Linked DNA regions of Drosophila melanogaster. The protein of the gene in region 1 interacts with the protein of each later gene in a pairwise test. Each region holds a gene or a part of one and is shown in the gene's direction. Other genes may lie near its edges.

Region 1 (6,938 bases):
TGGCCGAGCAGGCAGTCTGGGCTCTGGGCAACATTGCCGGCGACGGAGCCGCCGCCCGCGACATTGTCATCCACCACAACGTAATTGACGGAATCTTGCCACTGATCAACAATGAGACACCGCTCTCTTTTCTGCGCAACATCGTCTGGCTGATGTCCAACCTGTGCCGGAACAAGAATCCATCGCCGCCATTCGATCAGGTGAAGCGGCTGTTGCCCGTCCTGTCGCAGCTTCTGCTTAGTCAGGACATCCAAGTGCTGGCCGACGCCTGCTGGGCTTTGTCCTACGTCACGGACGACGATAACACCAAGATCCAGGCTGTGGTCGACTCGGACGCAGTGCCGCGCCTGGTCAAACTGCTGCAAATGGACGAGCCGAGCATTATTGTGCCCGCCCTGCGCAGCGTTGGCAACATTGTGACTGGCACAGATCAACAGGTAGGAAAACAAATGATTTTAATCCTTATTGTTATAACATGCCTGACCGACCTGTTTTTTTTTTTTTTTTTTATTAGACTGACGTTGTAATTGCATCTGGAGGTTTACCAAGGCTGGGACTCCTTCTACAGCACAACAAAAGCAACATTGTGAAGGAGGCTGCCTGGACGGTCAGCAACATCACAGCAGGTAACCAGAAGCAGATCCAGGCTGTGATTCAGGCCGGCATCTTCCAGCAGCTGCGCACCGTGCTGGAGAAGGGTGATTTCAAGGCTCAAAAAGAGGCTGCCTGGGCGGTGACAAACACCACGACATCTGGCACTCCCGAACAGATCGTCGATCTAATTGAGAAGTACAAAATATTGAAGCCTTTTATCGATTTGCTGGACACAAAGGATCCGCGTACCATCAAGGTGGTGCAGACGGGCCTATCCAATCTGTTTGCCCTGGCGGAGAAACTTGGTGGCACCGAGAACCTATGCTTGATGGTCGAGGAGATGGGCGGTCTAGACAAGCTGGAAACTCTGCAGCAGCACGAGAACGAGGAGGTCTACAAGAAGGCCTACGCCATCATTGACACATACTTCAGCAACGGCGACGACGAGGCCGAGCAAGAGCTCGCACCTCAGGAGGTCAACGGAGCCCTCGAGTTCAATGCCACCCAGCCCAAGGCTCCCGAAGGTGGCTACACGTTCTAATCGCCCACCCCACACATTCCAAACTCCGCTCACACGCCTTACAAACAACTACACCTTCGACCGCGCTCACACACTATGCCATTGTCAAACATACGCATACTCATCATCACATCTTACAAACATTCCCAAACACTTTGGAGGTATGCATGGAAACACAGGCGAATGCATTAGCTTAAAGTCATAATTGAATCGGGTTGGCAAAATCCACTCGCATGAATCCCCATTTAACATACCCGTATTCCTCGCGTTAGACTAGACTTCACAGATTGCAGCATGGATCTTTCTGGCAGTGTTCCTCGTTCACGATGCAACCGCTCGGGCAGCTGCGCTGGCTGGGATCCGTGGATCATAGTATTTCCAGAATCCGTCTGTACAGGGGGCACCTTATGTTTGCGTGTACTAGGCTTTTTATTGGATACGTTTCGAGCTCATTTCGGATATATTTTAGGCTGTTTAGTATTTATTTATGTATACAGGAAACGCTTTTAATCCTCCACCTTCGCGCAAGCATTACAACAACAACAACAACAACAACAACTCATTCCCTTCACACCAGTGTCCTCATTCCCGAATCGCATGTTTATATTCAAAGTTGTCAATAAATAATGAATTGTTTGAATGATTAATTAAATTTCATGTGTATTTAAGCTGCATTTGAGCATTGCGAAAATTGGAGCCTATTTTTGGGCCTTGGCATTTTTTTTTGTATATTATTTGGAATGCTATTGGGATATACACCGATGCAGGCAATCGAATTTAAAATGTTATCCCTTCGATGCGCTGGCGCCTTTTGTCCGTAAATCCGCGATAAAAAGTCATGCAGTCAATACATGTTTTTTTTTTTGTCTTGTACATTTAAATCGCATTTGGGCCGTAAGCGGATAGCCGGAAGATTAAGAGCTATCTACCGCAGCCACGCCCACTCGAGCAGCGGTGGACAGCGACCCCAAAAAAGTTCCAGATTAGATATAATGATTAAACAACCGACGAGTGAGTAGTGAGTAGTAGTCTACTACTGGCACAGAACGCGCACCACGCACAACTCAATCAAGATGAATCGCAGCGTTCGTGGTTATTGCAGTGATCCAGAGGGTAAGCTTAATCAGTGGAGCGACGACGTCACATCAACAACCATGTCCACGTACGATCTTGTTCCCATCGGATGCAGTGCGTCGAATTCGGCGAATCGTGTGTGTGTGTGGCAAAACAAATTATAAAAATAGATTAAAAATTCAGCATGGGCAAAGTAGTTGCCGAAAATTCGAACTGAATTGTGGAAGCATTGGCCGCCATCCGGAGCTTTTGCCTCCGCGTTGCCCAAATTGTCGTCACCGATGGATCGGATCTATGTATTCAATTGGTTCTTTCTCGAGCTATTTTATTATTTCCGAGCGCAAGCGTTTAGTCGACTTTCTGCCGAAGCTGCGTGCGGGCGTGAATCTCTAAGGGCAACTAATTTATATAATTGCAAAACGATCTGAACTGACATTACGCATTTGAAACTTAAAAATTTCTAACGATTTTTAAAAAAGGTAATAGAGAATAGTGCAAGTGATGTGAAACCAATCGGTAGTTTCGTAAATTGCCTTGTGTGTAAATCAATTCGCATTTTCACTGAATGTGTGTCGAAATTTTCACAACTATTGTTGTTGATGATGCCACTTCGAAAACAATTTTCTGATCTCATATGCCTCACTGAGAATCCAGTTGGGGATACACCATATGCCACTTGGTGCATTTAAACGTTTACAAAATACAAGAAAAAAAGTGTGAAAAAAATCGAAAGCACTTTTGACAAACTCATGATGCAGTTAATTTCGTTGAATAAAACAAAAAATTGGCACACCAAAAATAAACAATAAACATCTAGCACTAGAACAGCGCTACTTTATAGCGACTACTACATAGCGTACACAGCAAGAAATTTGTACTCATTATAAAATGTTTAATTTTAATCATTGGGAAAACATTTAATTTTGCTGTGAATTGATAGAATAGTATATTACCTATACTAAATCTATTCAAAATGCATTTTAAAGTTGTTCATGTGATAAAATTGTGAAAACTGAAAGAGTATGAGTGACATGATTTTCTGATAGATTTTTCTTGCAGTGTGGGCAGCGTGGCTCTCGCGATTTTGAAGCGGAAAACGGTCTTTTTTTCCGTTTCGGTCCGTTTTTATTTTCCGATTGGGGTGGGTGGGCGCGTATTTTGTTTGTTGATGTGGCAATTAAGCGCGCAAGTGTGCGCGTCGCGTAGAAATCGGCGTGCAGAGCTGCAGCTTCGAATCGACAAACTATATAGTACATATATAGCGAGTGGGCATTGAAGTGGGCGTGGGCGTGGGCGTGGTAGGCGGTGGGATTGGGTTTGTTTGCCATAGAACGGCGGCGGCTGCCGAAATTCGCGTGAAATTAAAAGTTGCCGCAAATATATAGCCACAGCACTGTCACAAAGTTTTCCGCCTCGGCGTTTCCGCTTTGTTTACTTGCCGAAAATAGTGTCAAGTTTGGCCTAGTGTGTTCAGTTGACTTTATTTGTTCAAGGCGCTTCTTTTGTATTCGCCAAATGAAATGGTAGACAATTTACATTTTCATTACAGTGTGCACTTCAAGAGCCAAGGTGAATTTAAATGGGATTCAATGTAGTATCTACTTGCGGCTGGGCCGCATTATATTTTCATTTTATTTAAAGCATCTCATGGCCCTAATAAATTTGGCCAAGTTTACTTACAAATGTATATCTACATATGTATGTATATACATGGCACATGTGTTTTGCATTATGCCGTAGGGCGCATTTATGCTAAACAATTACTTTTGATAGAATCAACCATGTGGAAGCGATAAATTCACGCCTTTATAATATTAATAAGACTTCATCTGCATACGAAAACACTGCCCAAGGCTTCTCAAGAGATTCAGATTTCATTAGATTCCTGGAAAAAGTGGGCAAGATAATACCCCTTCCAAAGTTGAAAGCTAAGTAATTTATCATGCAATATATCTGTGTATGTTTTTTGTAGCTTTACGAAGATTACGATTTCATTTTGCATACAAAGATTTCAAAACTTGAATTTTCTTGGATTTTTTTGAAGCAACACAATGAGTGAAGCTGCCAATCCAACGCCCTATGATTGCCACATAGGTGCTGGTATTTACCACAGCATAGCAACGAGTTTTGCAGAACAAAATGTAGTTGTATCACCACTACTACTGGAAGCCACTCTGTCCCTGCTCTTCCTGGGATCGGATGGAGCCACCGCCGAGGAGCTGCAGAAACAACTGCGACTGAAGCAACGTTTTGCCAGCAATGCCAAAATGGCCAATTTCTATGCCGCGGAACTGGGCAATATCACAACAGATGCAGATACCTTCCTGCAGCTGCAGAATCGTTTGATGCTGTCATCTGAATCTGGAGTGGCCGATGATTTCCAGAAGATTGCACAAACCTATTTCCATGCCACTGCCGAGTGTGTTGATCTGGAGCAAACGGAGAAACTGCGTCGCCACATCAGCGAACAGATCCTGGCCAGCGTTGGAGGCGGCAGCTGGAAGGATATTCACGTGGCAGGTGGTTCGTCAGCCAATACCCTGCTCCTGCTGCTGGCCGCCAATCTGCAGAGCAAGTGGTTCCTGCCCTTCAGTGCCTACAGAACCGGACTCTATGAGTTTCACAGCGGCAGCCAGGTGAAATCGGTGCCCATGCTCTTCGACGACGACATGTTCGTGAAGTTCGCTGAGCTGAGGGATCTGGATGCGCGTGCCATTGAGCTGCCCTACGAGCACGCCGAGGAGCTGTCCATGCTGCTCATTCTGCCCAATCAGCGTGGTGGCCTGCAGGAACTGGAGAAGCAGCTGCATGACCTGGATTTGGGTGCACTGCAGCAGCGAATGCAGATGGAGGGCGTGCAGGTGTTGCTGCCCAAATTCAGTATCGATTTCGAGTGCAGTCTGCGGCAGCCGTTGAAACAGGTTCGTAAAATCAATAAATGTATCCTCTTTCCCAATTTCGAATATGTTATCTTATATAGCTCGGCTTTGAGGAGATATTTGCTGCATCGGCGAACTTCAAACATCTGCATGCATCGGCGAATCTGCCCATTGCCGATGTTCTTCAAAAGCTGCGCATAAATCTGAATGAGTCTGGATCCGGATCCGGACCCGAGTTACCAAAGAATGCCACAGGTATTTAATTTCTTTGTAGTTCCTGGTGATAAATATACCTTATCCATAAACATTCCAGAATATAAGCCCATTGTGATCAGCAATTCCTCCCGCCAGAAATTCTTCCGAGCTGACCATCCATTCTTCTTCGCCATTCGCAGTGAGAATGTGACCTATCTGATGGGTCACGTGGTGGAATTTTAAAAATTCTTAAAATTTAGATACACGGAAGGGTAGTGCAATATGTTAACTTCTATAAAACTAAGTAAAATAAAACTAATATTTACTAAACAAGTAATATCGATGTATGAATGCTTCGGAATATATGATCGATTTTTTGTATTTGTTGCAAAATGAAAATGGTTTAAAATTTCTATGAAAATTATTATAAAAATCTAACCACAATCTTACCTTGCATTTCCGGCTTGTCAGTAATTTTTAGTCATTTAATATCATATTTTTTTTCCAAATTCAAACACACACTTTTAATAGATTTTCTAACAAGAGTCTCGAGTTTATTTAAAGATATATCTGTATAATTTGTTTTGTTCCAGAAATAGTCCTGTTATGTTTATTAGTTTTACAATTATTGTATTTTGTATTTAATCTCTGCTTCTTAATAGGGCTTAATTTTGGCTTTAATTCTAGGAAACTTTAAATGGAATCAAAAACATGTTCTCGCTCATTAATTTGTTTTTTTTTTTTTCAATTTCGTTCTCATTGTATTCTCCACAATAGGCTTTTTGTAAATCTAGCTAAAAAGTTATCCTAAGTTTAAATTCATTCAATTCGTTTTACATATGCCATATGATGTAAACTTTAAATTGTGTTCTAAATATGAGTCTAGGTTGATTGATGCCTAAATCACTTTGAAGGACAGTAACTTTGAACATTTCATGAATTGATAGAACTGAAAATTGGATGGTCTTATTTGATAAAAAATTGGTAAAACCAGGAGCTGCTAAACTGATTGTTATCCATATTTGGTATCTATATCCGATGCATACTTAGATAGAATATTCACAGAGATTTGTTTTTTACTGTAGTTTAGTTTCGAAATTTGATTTACACATATGTACATCTGTTGATAGAAAAACGAAGCCTCTTAAATGCATCTTAGTGTGGGCATTTGGCCTACAAATGCCATCCAACTCACGGATATTGCTATTGTTTCTGCTGTCCATCATCACTGGTGGGCGGTGGGGCAACGCCGCCTGCTTCGCCGGCATCCGCAGCGCCCCTGTTCAGCAAGTAGTCCAGATCGAGCGTGATCCGATCCAGCGTTGCATCATTGCCCCCACTGCAGCCGCTTTGCGTGGGTGTGGGCGTGGCTGGCGTCGTAGTCGCCGTGCTGGTGACAGTCGATGTGGAGACCACCGCCGCCACCATGGTGGGCAGCAGGGGGTCGAATGTCGTGCGGGACGTCGGCTCCAGGATGGTCACTCGCTTCTGCGTCTTCGGCGTCTGGGTGGGCAGCGACATGGTCGGAATCGTTGGAATTGCCGGCATTGTCTGCATCGCCGTTCCACTCAGGTTTCCGCTTATGGTCGGAGGCGGGGCCATGCTCAGGATTAGGGAGCTGGGCACAAAGTCCACGTAGGGATTATGCTGCAGCGGAACATAATGAGAAGTGCTTG
Region 2 (5,458 bases), 3.9 Mb from region 1:
CTGCATTCGACGCCATTATGGTTCATATTCTGTGAAAGAGCAATGCAAGCCCATTGAAAGTACCGCATATTTTAATAATATTAAATATTAAAATCATATTTAAATAATATTATCTAAAAACAAGGATTTAAATAATAACTTTCTTAAAAACAAATTTGCATCCACTAAGTATTAAAATAATTTTTGGCACGAATCTTAAAATATTTGAAATAAACATGACTCATTTATTTCCGACAAGCGCTTCAAATATTTTATTTCTACTTGTGCCGGATAAGAAGAATTTCAAAACAAAAACATTTGTTATATTTAAGCGATACGGAAGTAAGTAATCTCAGCTATTCGACATGTTTTGAATGCGATATTATCTAGCCATTTAAATTTATTTTTTAAGATAATGACTGCAGCTTTTGGATAAACACAATCTCTGTTTTGGTTTTATACCGATCAAGCCCAAGGGATTTCGAAATAAAAATCAATTCTTTAGTAATAATGTCTATACTGGAACGCACATGGTTGATTGCTCATGGTAGGTATATCCCGGATCGCATAGACATCGGTTTCGGCTGACACACACGCCATTGTTGCACTTCCTGCACCGAATAAAGATTGCCATTAGTCTGGTATTCCCAGCATGAAGTTTTCAGCTTACTGATAGCAATCGGCCTGGCAGACACCATCCCTCAGATTGTAACCAGGAGCGCAGTCGCACTGGTTGTTGTCCTTGCAGAGTCCGCCGATTCCACAGTCCGGTTCGCAGACGGGCTGGCATCCGTCGTCGGTCAGCTGATAGCCCTTGGAGCAGCCACAGATCTCCGGTTCGGTGCAGTTGTGCCGCGGACTGCTGCCACAGCCACTGCTGCAGATCGGGCGGCAGAAGCGTCGCGTCTCGTCCAGCTTGTAGCCCGGATCACACTGACAGCTGCCGTCCAGATAGCACTGACCATTTTGGCAGCCCAGCGGGCAGGCAAACACACAGTCACCGTTGTCGTTACGCACAAAGCCATCATAGCACTCGCACTCACCAGGAATCTTACAGCTTCCGTTCTGGCAGCCACATTGCGCCCGGCACACGGTTACGCCCATCAGACGACTGGCCGAGTATCCGGTGCAGCAGACCTCGATCAGGGACAGCCGGTTGGCCTGGTCCGTCTGGATGACACTGGGGTACGAGTACTTTTCCACCGTATCGGGGCTGCTCGAATGTTGGAAAACAAAAAATATTATAACTAAGTTCACCACATTGCTTCCAATTCTCAGTCTATGCTTATGAATTTTGGCAACTAAAAGTTTTACAAATTCTGGGAGTACAGATAAGGCTTGCGATATTATGTTCACAGTAGAAAGTTTATATATATATTTCTGATTATCAAAACATACATATATATATATACATTGTTAAAATAAAAAAATTTTGTTAATGTATATATACTTCAACGTTGTTTTCTGTGTATCTGACATACTTACGGCACCCAAATGCGGCATTTGTGTTGCCCCCTATCGGATTGCGTTTCATGTGATCGAATGAGATACTCTCGTCGTTTCGGCTGCAACTCCACATTTCTGGGATCTTGGAAGTTGGCTGGTCCAGGTCGATTATAGGACAACTGCCGGTTTTCCATGTACCCGCGGCCATAGGTTCCCATTCCTGGATCCTGGGACACAGGCCTTCTGTTGTACCGATCCGAATAGCTTGGCACATTTGTGTAAATACTGGGCAGACACACCATCAGGTGGAAAAAACTTAGACGAATGCGCAAGTCTCGCAACCACATCTTGAGCACTCCTTATTTCAAGTTTCTAGGTGTTCACAATTTGCCAGCTAGAATTGTACTAATTTTCGCCACTGAAACAGAATTAATTTTTTTTGTCTTATCAGAAAAGCAGCTATATTCGATGCATAGGCTAAGATGAGAGGAATTTGGTTCAGTTTGTTTATGAGAGTTTATTATTATGAATACATGTAAGTCGAAATTTTTAAGTGTTGCGACTTGTTTATACCTCAGTTGGATAATTTTCTAAAATATTTTTTCTAATTTTATTTTGAACGAGCCCAAAGCATATTTAAATATAAATAAAATAAAATAAAATATATTTGAATATGCTAATTTACATACCCAAAAGATACTTTTGGTTACTGAAATATTTTATTTGCATCCCATCACTATTTATCCGGGAAATTACAATTCGTAATGAAAGAACATAAAACTTAAGACGATCTTTAGCTCGTTCTTACTTGACATACATTGGCATTGCGAGCCCTGGATCTCCCCCTCCAGATCCGAATTAAGCGCTGAAGCCCTCTTATCATTGCCTCCGGCTGTGATTAGAGGCTGGCCCAACTGCGTCGTCTCCGGAGCAGTAAACAATAGCGACTTGAGCGTTTCGGTAGCGCGCCACAAAGGAATCCGCGCCCAGCACTGAGATGTCAACAATACTGCGATCTCTGTGCCTCCACTCGGTGCTCCTGGTCCTGTTCCTCTGCGTGCTGCACGGCCTGGAGCTGCAACTTCACGAGCAACAGCTGCAGCAGCAAAAGGACGAGCAGCTGCGCCTGCGCGCGGAGCAACGCCAGCGGGAACTGCTGCGTGAGCACGAGGCTCTACAGCGACGCCTCTCGTCCTCGACCACCACACGGAAACCCTATATAATACCCAACGGTTTGTCGCTGCCCCGGAGAGGGGAACATCCGGACAAGTGCCGACAGGAAGTGCCGTAAGTGTGTGCCGGTGACAATCTAAGCCCATTAAATCCTTGGGCTCTTTTAGACCTTGCCCATAACCAGCACAAGTTCTCGTATGGTTTATAACTTTTAATTTTACTGATATATCTCAAAAGCACACATGCATTGTATACACCAATCCAATCTCCAGGGCCGTGTTCTTTCAGTACGACAAGGAGGTGAAGATTGTGGGCAACAGCTCCACCAATCCCTACATGAACGTGATCGAGGTTTGTTGCAAGGGCTGGCGCCGCTATGAATATGACTGGAGCCAGTGCGTTCCGGATTGCGGTGAGCGGTGCCAGGAGAACGGCTTCTGTGTGGCGGGCGGCAAATGCGTGTGCTTCACGGACTTTGTGCTCAACTACCGCAACAATTGTGTGCCCACCTGTCCGTTGGGCTGTCCGCATGGTCGCTGTTACTTGAACGGCACCTGCCAGTGCGATAAGGGATACGAGCTGGACGGATCGCGCAAATTCTGCCAGCCGCAGTGCAACGCCACCTGTGGCCACAACGAGGTCTGCTTGGAGCCGGGCAAGTGCTCCTGCGCCGAGGGATATACCCGAGGACTGAGGGAGTCCGCCGCCCTGGGATGCCAACCGATTTGTATTCCGGACTGCGGATACGGTCACTGCGTGCGGCCCAACGAATGCGAGTGCTTCCCCGGATTCCAAAAACGCAAGAACGGCATCACCTGCGAAGGCGATTGCTATATGTGAGTGTTAGAACTAGACGCCTCTCCTTTTACATTTAATAATTTAATAAATTTCTTTCAGGACCTGCGAGAATGGCTTCTGTGCAAACAAAACGACGTGCGTGTGTCAGAACGGATATCGATACGATAAGAATACGACGACCTGTCTGCCGGATTGCGGGGACAACTGCGATAATGGGGTGTGCATCTCGCCGGGCAACTGCCGCTGCTTCAAGGGCTACGTCCGGAATCGGGAGCGATGCGAGGCGGTCTGCGTGGGTGGATGTGGTTTTTACGGCAAATGCATCGCACCGAATGTGTGCGGATGCGCCATAGTCCCGGGTCCGGAACGCACCTACCAGCGTTGCGAGTACGGATTGTGCAACGCCATGGGAAGATGCCGCTGCCAGGTGGGCATGACGCGATTCATCGATCGCTGCATGTCGCCGGACACGGTCACCACATACGCCTCTATGAATCCCGTCAAGGTGAACGCATCGCTCATCCAGGAATTCAATCTTCTGCTGGGCAGGCACTTCAACTTGACCACACTCAGCGATATGTGGTGGTTGTGAGTTCGGAGCTCTCACTTTTCCAGCATCACTGAGCAGTCTCTAATAAATATTCATGCATTTCCCAAGACGTTGTGTTCTTATCAGGGGTGTCTGAAATATCTTGTGGCTTCATCTCTTGGGATTTCGCTTTTTTGAAGCAAGTCTAGCTTAAATTGTAAACGTACGTCGAAGATTTGGTACCCTCTCGAAAGTTGTTTCATTTGAATAGGTATTTATTATTTGGTATATCACTTATTTTCTGCATAGTCAACATACCCCACGAATACCGGGTACTGAACACATAATTATCTTCCTAGGAATATAGAACATTTCTATCTCCGTACACTTAAATGCCGCGCTTGACACAGACGACAATTTAGTAGCTCCGAGACACTGGCGAGCATTGCGCTCGCATTTTGATACGACCTCGCCTTCAGCTGAATCCGAGCGAAATGCACTTGACATCCACGCTGATTGGACTCCTTATCTGCGGTCTGGGGATCGAGCTGCCCACGCGCACTGCCGCACAATTCTGGTCGGTGGATCCTGTTACGCAGTGGCGAAAAGAGGCTCTGGCCGAGAGGGGATCCGGCATCTGTTACAGGACGCTCACGTAGGTAAACCATTCCGCACGCCTGACCGAATTTCAAGATCAATTCCCACTCCCAGCGTGGAAACCATCAATCCCAACTCCAGAAATCGTCAGTTCTCCTACTGCTGCGATGGTTATGTGAATAAGGGAACAAGCCAGAACCTGAAGTGCGAGCCCATTTGCTCGGAGGACTGCTCCAATGGATTGTGCCTGGCGCCCGAGGAGTGCGAGTGTGCTCCGGGTTACTATCGGAGTAACAAAAGGTGTCGTTTTGTCTTGGAATAACAAAAATAAATAATATCAATTACAATATTTTTTGAGTTGCTTACTTTATCATTATTTGATCAATACTTCTACTATTTGAAATATTATTAACCTGTTTTTTACGACCATTCATGATTACATAGAAACGTTAAATTTTTTTTTTGAAAAAACCTTCATAAGTTTTAAAGGTTCATCATTTTTATGTTCTGTGCCTTTAAATCTGATATTTCATCAAGAAATAATCTCTATACCTGAAGTCATCGTTGTACGCAAACTTTTCTTGGAATTACCCAAAAGCAATGAGTTTTGTTTACGACTCACAATTTATGGCAATGATCGATTTGCTTTGCCCGAAGCTACTGAGAGCAAACCTTCGCTCCGTTTGCCACATTGATGGGTACATTGGCGAGGTGCTGATTAGAAGGGGGACAAGAGGTTGCCGGAGGCGAATGGCGGCTCAGAGATCCGGAGCTTCGCATCGGGAGCCGATTAGTCGATGTGCAACTACAGTCGCCAGCGGACGTGGACGTGGGCGCATAATCAATTTCCATACGTACGAAATCCGTAATCAAGTGACATCACCATGAGGTCATCATCGTGCCAGCTGGTGACTCTGGGCGTTCTGCTGGCCATCT
Region 3 (4,766 bases), on another chromosome or scaffold:
GAGAAGCTGTACTGCGGATTGGGATCGTAGGGCTCGGCAACAGCCACCTTGGCCACAGCGACGGGGGCAGCCAGGACCTTGGGAGCATAGGAGATGGCAGGAGCGGCATACGAGATGGCAGGAGCCGCCAGGAGTTTGGGAGCAGCATAGGAAATGGCAGGAGCAGCAAGCAACTTGGGAGCCGCATAGGTGAGTCCAGGGGCCGAAAGTCCATAGGGATCAATGGGAATGGCCACAACGGCGGACAGGATCAGTCCCAAAACGAACAGAGTCTGGCGAGGAATTCCATGATCAGTTGAGCCAACTAAAAGCTGCACTCCTTTGGCCAACTCACCTGGGCAATCATGGCGAAGGATGTGAGAATGAGGGAGCTCTGGTTTGGATGTGTCTGCACTGCGAGAACTCAGCTCAAATGTGAGATGCATTTTCCGCGTGGTCTTCAGTTTTATATTCGAAACTGGCGGCAGCTGCCAGCGGAAAAAAAAACTGGACAATCTAATGGGCAGAGTGACAATTGCGTCTCATTTGGTGGCTGCCCGATCTCGATCTCGATCTTGCACCCCAGACCTCATCGCTGATGGCGGATTTCGTGTTTCTGGTGCGGATTTCATCATTGGTGCTGGCTTTTCTCAATGGAATAACTGCAGCCGCCGCTGCCGAGGCACACCACTCACCGAAGTCCATTTGAGTCCGTTCAAGAGCGCCGCTCCAAGATACCCAGCTAGTCAGCTACCAGCAACACCAGACTCGTTTTCCGCTGACTCGCTGGCCGATCTGGTTTCATTTTTTCGCCGTTTTTTGGCACATTCTCAGGTTCTCCAGCCAAAATTTGTCTGATGTAATAAGTGCCTCATATTGTGGCAGTTTCAGTTGCAGTTGCCACAAGAACAGTGACAGTGCTTTTTTAGCGATTGTAGGTACCCTTTCAAGAAAAATCTTTAATATCATCAAAGACCTAATGAAAATATGTATTTACTCTCAATTTTCTGAAAATGTATGAAACCAAGATTACAATTGGATATGTAAACACTCATTTGGCGAACATACTTCAATCAATATTTGAATATGTAATTGAAATGCCTGCTGTTAAGTTATGCCGATTATCACTCACACGCCATGTTGTCCAAACGCAAGCAAATTTCGCTTGGTTTGCGTGACGTGCGAGTAATCTTCATAGTAACATACATGTCCAATGTGCCCACCCAAAGTGCAGGGTATAAAAACAAGATCAATCGTTCGCAGCCACTCGTTTAATTAGAAAACGAAAATGGCAAGTTTCGACGGCTTGGTGGAGGGAATGGAATTGGGCGGGACGCAGGCGCAATTACGCACTGGCACACGCATTAACCCCTCGACGATCCGATTTCCACCTGACCAACTGGACCAGCGCCCACATTGCTGAGCCCGGTCACTTAGCCACCGTAATTGCCTCGATCGGGCCAAAAAGCATTTAGCCGGCATTTGGAAGCTCTAACCGCGGCGACCTTGCTCACAATTGGCAGCTAAGTGGCTGTGGTTAGTATTTCATCCACTTTTAATTAATTCTCATCTCAGAGCAGAGTCAAGCGATTGGGCAAGGAACTGCATAAATGGCAGTGGAGCATTCCATTCGCTTTGGCCAAATTGGACGACTGTATATCCATGCTGGTTTCCGGTGGCGACAATCTACGCCGACAACCGTTAGTCAGCTACCACAACCCGACGAGTAATACCACCATTTGGTGCCAACTTTTGGGGCTCTCTCCGCTTCTCCGGATCGCTCAGCGTCTCTCCGAGGTGAATCCGCAGCCAACGAGTCGCAAGGTCGTTGGTTGCATTTAGGAAAAGAGTCACGAACTCAAAACCAGCCACCAGTTACAGCACGAAATCGATGGGGAATCTTTAATCAACCATGGAGTTAGGCAAATTCCAAAAGACCAGAGATTCTTGTTGTTACTGAAGATATTTGTTAGGAAAGCATGTTAAATTTAAAATAAGATTTATCCTTTTCAGCAAAGTCGTTTAGGGGAGGAACTAAAAATCTCCTTATGGAAACATAAACCAAATGCATGGCCATTTATTAGAATAATATCAATATAATTGATGTATCAAATGTTGATAATCTTTCAATAGATTTACAATAGTAATATATGGGTATATAGTATATATATTAGTCTAATCGATATTACTGGGCCACATTGACCCAGTTTCACCTTGTTAAGTGAAACCGAACCCCTTGTGAAAACCCTTATTATGTATAAGTGGTAACTCATTAGCATAAGTAATTGATACCCAATAAGGTGTATAAGAAACTTTCCAATTTATTTGAGACAACCAATTCAAGTAGTACATCAAAATCAGGATCATTACACTCTAAAGATACTTTTTTATCCCAGAGATATATTAATATTAAGTTTTTGAGCTTGAACCCTTGTCAACTCGACGTCATTATGGTAACTTAATTATAAGTTTCGCGCTTTTGGTGTAAAGGAAAATTAAAAGCACTGTCATTGGATGGAACCTGCATGACAATTACCGAAAACTACTGCTCCGAAATATAATCAAATCGCATTCACTTTCGATCCGAACAAGGCAAAAACAGTGGCAAATAAAAATGAAAACTTGGTGTAGCCACCGCAAGACGACTGAAAATTGGAGTACGTGCTGCGAATTTGGATCAAAGCCCGAGACGCAGACGCAGCCAAATGCTGGGTAGGAAGAGGCGGCCCCAAAAAGCGGCGATGGTGATGATGCGGGGGGCAAGGAGCTCGGACAATGGGCTACCATACGCAATTGGTACGCAGTTCCCTCCACGGAGCACCGCATGCAAATTTCGCGAACGCATCTGGGTATAAAAGTCGTGGTTTTTTTGTCCAAGGTATGTCAGTTCATTTTCGATAACCGACGGTGACAATCGCACTAAACCCCCACCCAAGCCTTACAATGAATCCTCTGACGGTAAGTGTTGGTGATGGCTTCGGTGAACCCGTCAGGTCAGGAGACTAAACTGGACTCCATGCATTTTCCTCACAGGTTGTTGCAGTCCTTTCCTCGATGGCCCTCTCGGCTCAGGCTGGTCTGGTTGGCGCTCCTCTGGCCGCCGCTCCTCTGGGTGCTCCTCTGGCTTACTCCGCCCCTCTGGGACCTGCTCCATACTTCGCCCCGGCTGCGTACTCCGCCCCTCTGGGCTACGCGGCTCCTTTGGGATACAACGCCCCTCTGGTGGCGGGACCTGCTCCCCTGGTGTCCAAGACCTACGCTGCCGCTCCTTTCGCCGCTCCCTTCGCTGCTCCAGTTGCCCCAGTTGCTGCTCGCCTGGCTGCCCCAGTCGCCGCTCCTCTCGCTGCCCCAGTTGCTCCAGTAGCCGCTCCCCTGGCTGCTCCAGTTGCTGCTCCCCTGGCTGCTCCAGTTGCTGCTCCCATCGCCACCGAGATCGTGGATGCCCACCCACAGTACAAGTTCGCCTACGATGTCCAGGATACGCTAACCGGTGACTCCAAGACCCAGGAGGAGACTCGTGATGGTGATGTCGTCCGTGGATCCTACTCTCTGATCGAGCCCGATGGTTCCCGTCGTATTGTCAGCTACTACGCCGACTCCATCAACGGTTTCAACGCAGTGGTGCAGAAGGATGTGCCCGTGGCTGTTGCCCCAGTGGCTCCAGTTTTGGCCAAGACCGTGGCTGCTCCAGTGGCTCCAGTTGTGGCTGCTGCCCCCGCTCCAGTCTTCGCCAAGACCCTGGCCGCTCCCATCGTCGCCTAAGTAGAAGGAGGAGAAGTAGGAGTCGTAAAGGAAGTATTGACCGCAATTCGACAAAGGACTTTCATCTGTACATATTCGATTAATCATTGTCGAGCTATTGAATAACTTTCATCGCAAAAACCCAAAATTAAAGAAATTCTGAAAACAAAAGATTGTAGTTTATTGTTTAAAGGCATCCTGGATTACGAGAGTGATATCATATAGAGGCTTAAGAAAATTATTTAAGTATTTTAGCTTTAATATTTATAGGTAATATTTATATGTATCATTCTTTATATTTTAAGGATTACACTTAAAACTTGGTGTTCTTTTTAGGGAAGTGGATGAAGAGTTCTGGAAGCTTTCGCAACATGAGAACGTGGCCAGGATGCGTCTGAAATTGGAGCCTCAGTTATATCCAAATAAACACGAGAATGCCGCCAATCTGCGCGACAATGCGACCAGTGCCTACGACACCAAGTAAGCCCAGCCAGTCCTTAGTAGTGTCCTTCATAATCTGATTTTCAATATCCTTTATCTTAGGGAAATCTCTGAATTTGACTCCACCATCAAGAATGCCGTGGTGCGCGATTTCCTGGCGGATGACGAAAGTTCCCAGCTGGAGGAGGAACTACGTCAACTGATCGACACGCAAGCGCAACAGGATGTGGCGCTGGAGAAGCTAGTCATGTCACAGGACTGTGAGCTGATCACGCTGATGACCAAGGTGAAGGGACGCATTGAGGTTAACCAGAGCGTGTTCACCTTTGTGGACTTGAGCCCGCCAACAGAGGATGGTTCCAAATACGATTTCAGGTTCTCCACCAACAAGATACGTGAGGTTCATCTGCGAAAGTACAATCTGCGCAGGAGTGCTTTGGAAATCTTCCTGGTGGATCAGACTAGCTACTTCCTCAACTTTACGACGAAGGTGAGTTTTTTTTTTGTAAATAAAATGTGATCATTGCAAATGTTCTTATTTCTTTAAGACTCGAAATAAAGTTTTCACAAAAATCGTGGGTCTACCGCTTCCAAACATACTCTAC

Evidence for each region.
Region 2: the proteins of Spn31A (region 1) and NimB4 interact in a two-hybrid assay, tested with the Drosophila melanogaster proteins (one large-scale study listed by BioGRID).
Region 3: the proteins of Spn31A (region 1) and Cpr64Ad interact in a two-hybrid assay, tested with the Drosophila melanogaster proteins (one large-scale study listed by BioGRID).

The regions. Positions count from the first base shown.
Region 1 is NT_033779.5:10,058,333-10,065,270, forward strand, and holds Spn31A (serpin 31A), read left to right. Parts: upstream 1-2,483; 5' UTR 2,484-2,667; intron 2,668-4,232; 5' UTR 4,233-4,239; coding exon 4,240-5,109; intron 5,110-5,168; coding exon 5,169-5,322; intron 5,323-5,380; coding exon 5,381-5,505; 3' UTR 5,506-5,593; downstream 5,594-6,938. Other genes in the region: Pen (pendulin), read left to right, coding at 1-437, 515-1,135; CG44153 (uncharacterized protein), read right to left, coding at 6,466-6,938.
Region 2 is NT_033779.5:13,966,873-13,972,330, reverse strand, and holds NimB4 (nimrod B4), read left to right. Parts: upstream 1-2,354; 5' UTR 2,355-2,422; coding exon 2,423-2,712; intron 2,713-2,870; coding exon 2,871-3,434; intron 3,435-3,495; coding exon 3,496-3,988; 3' UTR 3,989-4,051; downstream 4,052-5,458. Other genes in the region: He (hemese), read left to right, coding at 1-91; NimB5 (nimrod B5), read right to left, coding at 494-590, 650-1,192, 1,465-1,772; NimB3 (nimrod B3), read left to right, coding at 4,420-4,580, 4,637-4,844; NimB2 (nimrod B2), read left to right, coding at 5,407-5,458.
Region 3 is NT_037436.4:4,212,528-4,217,293, forward strand, and holds Cpr64Ad (cuticular protein 64Ad), read left to right. Parts: upstream 1-2,851; 5' UTR 2,852-2,922; coding exon 2,923-2,937; intron 2,938-3,012; coding exon 3,013-3,741; 3' UTR 3,742-3,887; downstream 3,888-4,766. Other genes in the region: CG43367 (uncharacterized protein), read left to right, coding at 4,057-4,200, 4,264-4,651, 4,710-4,766; Cpr64Ac (cuticular protein 64Ac), read right to left, coding at 1-272, 335-346.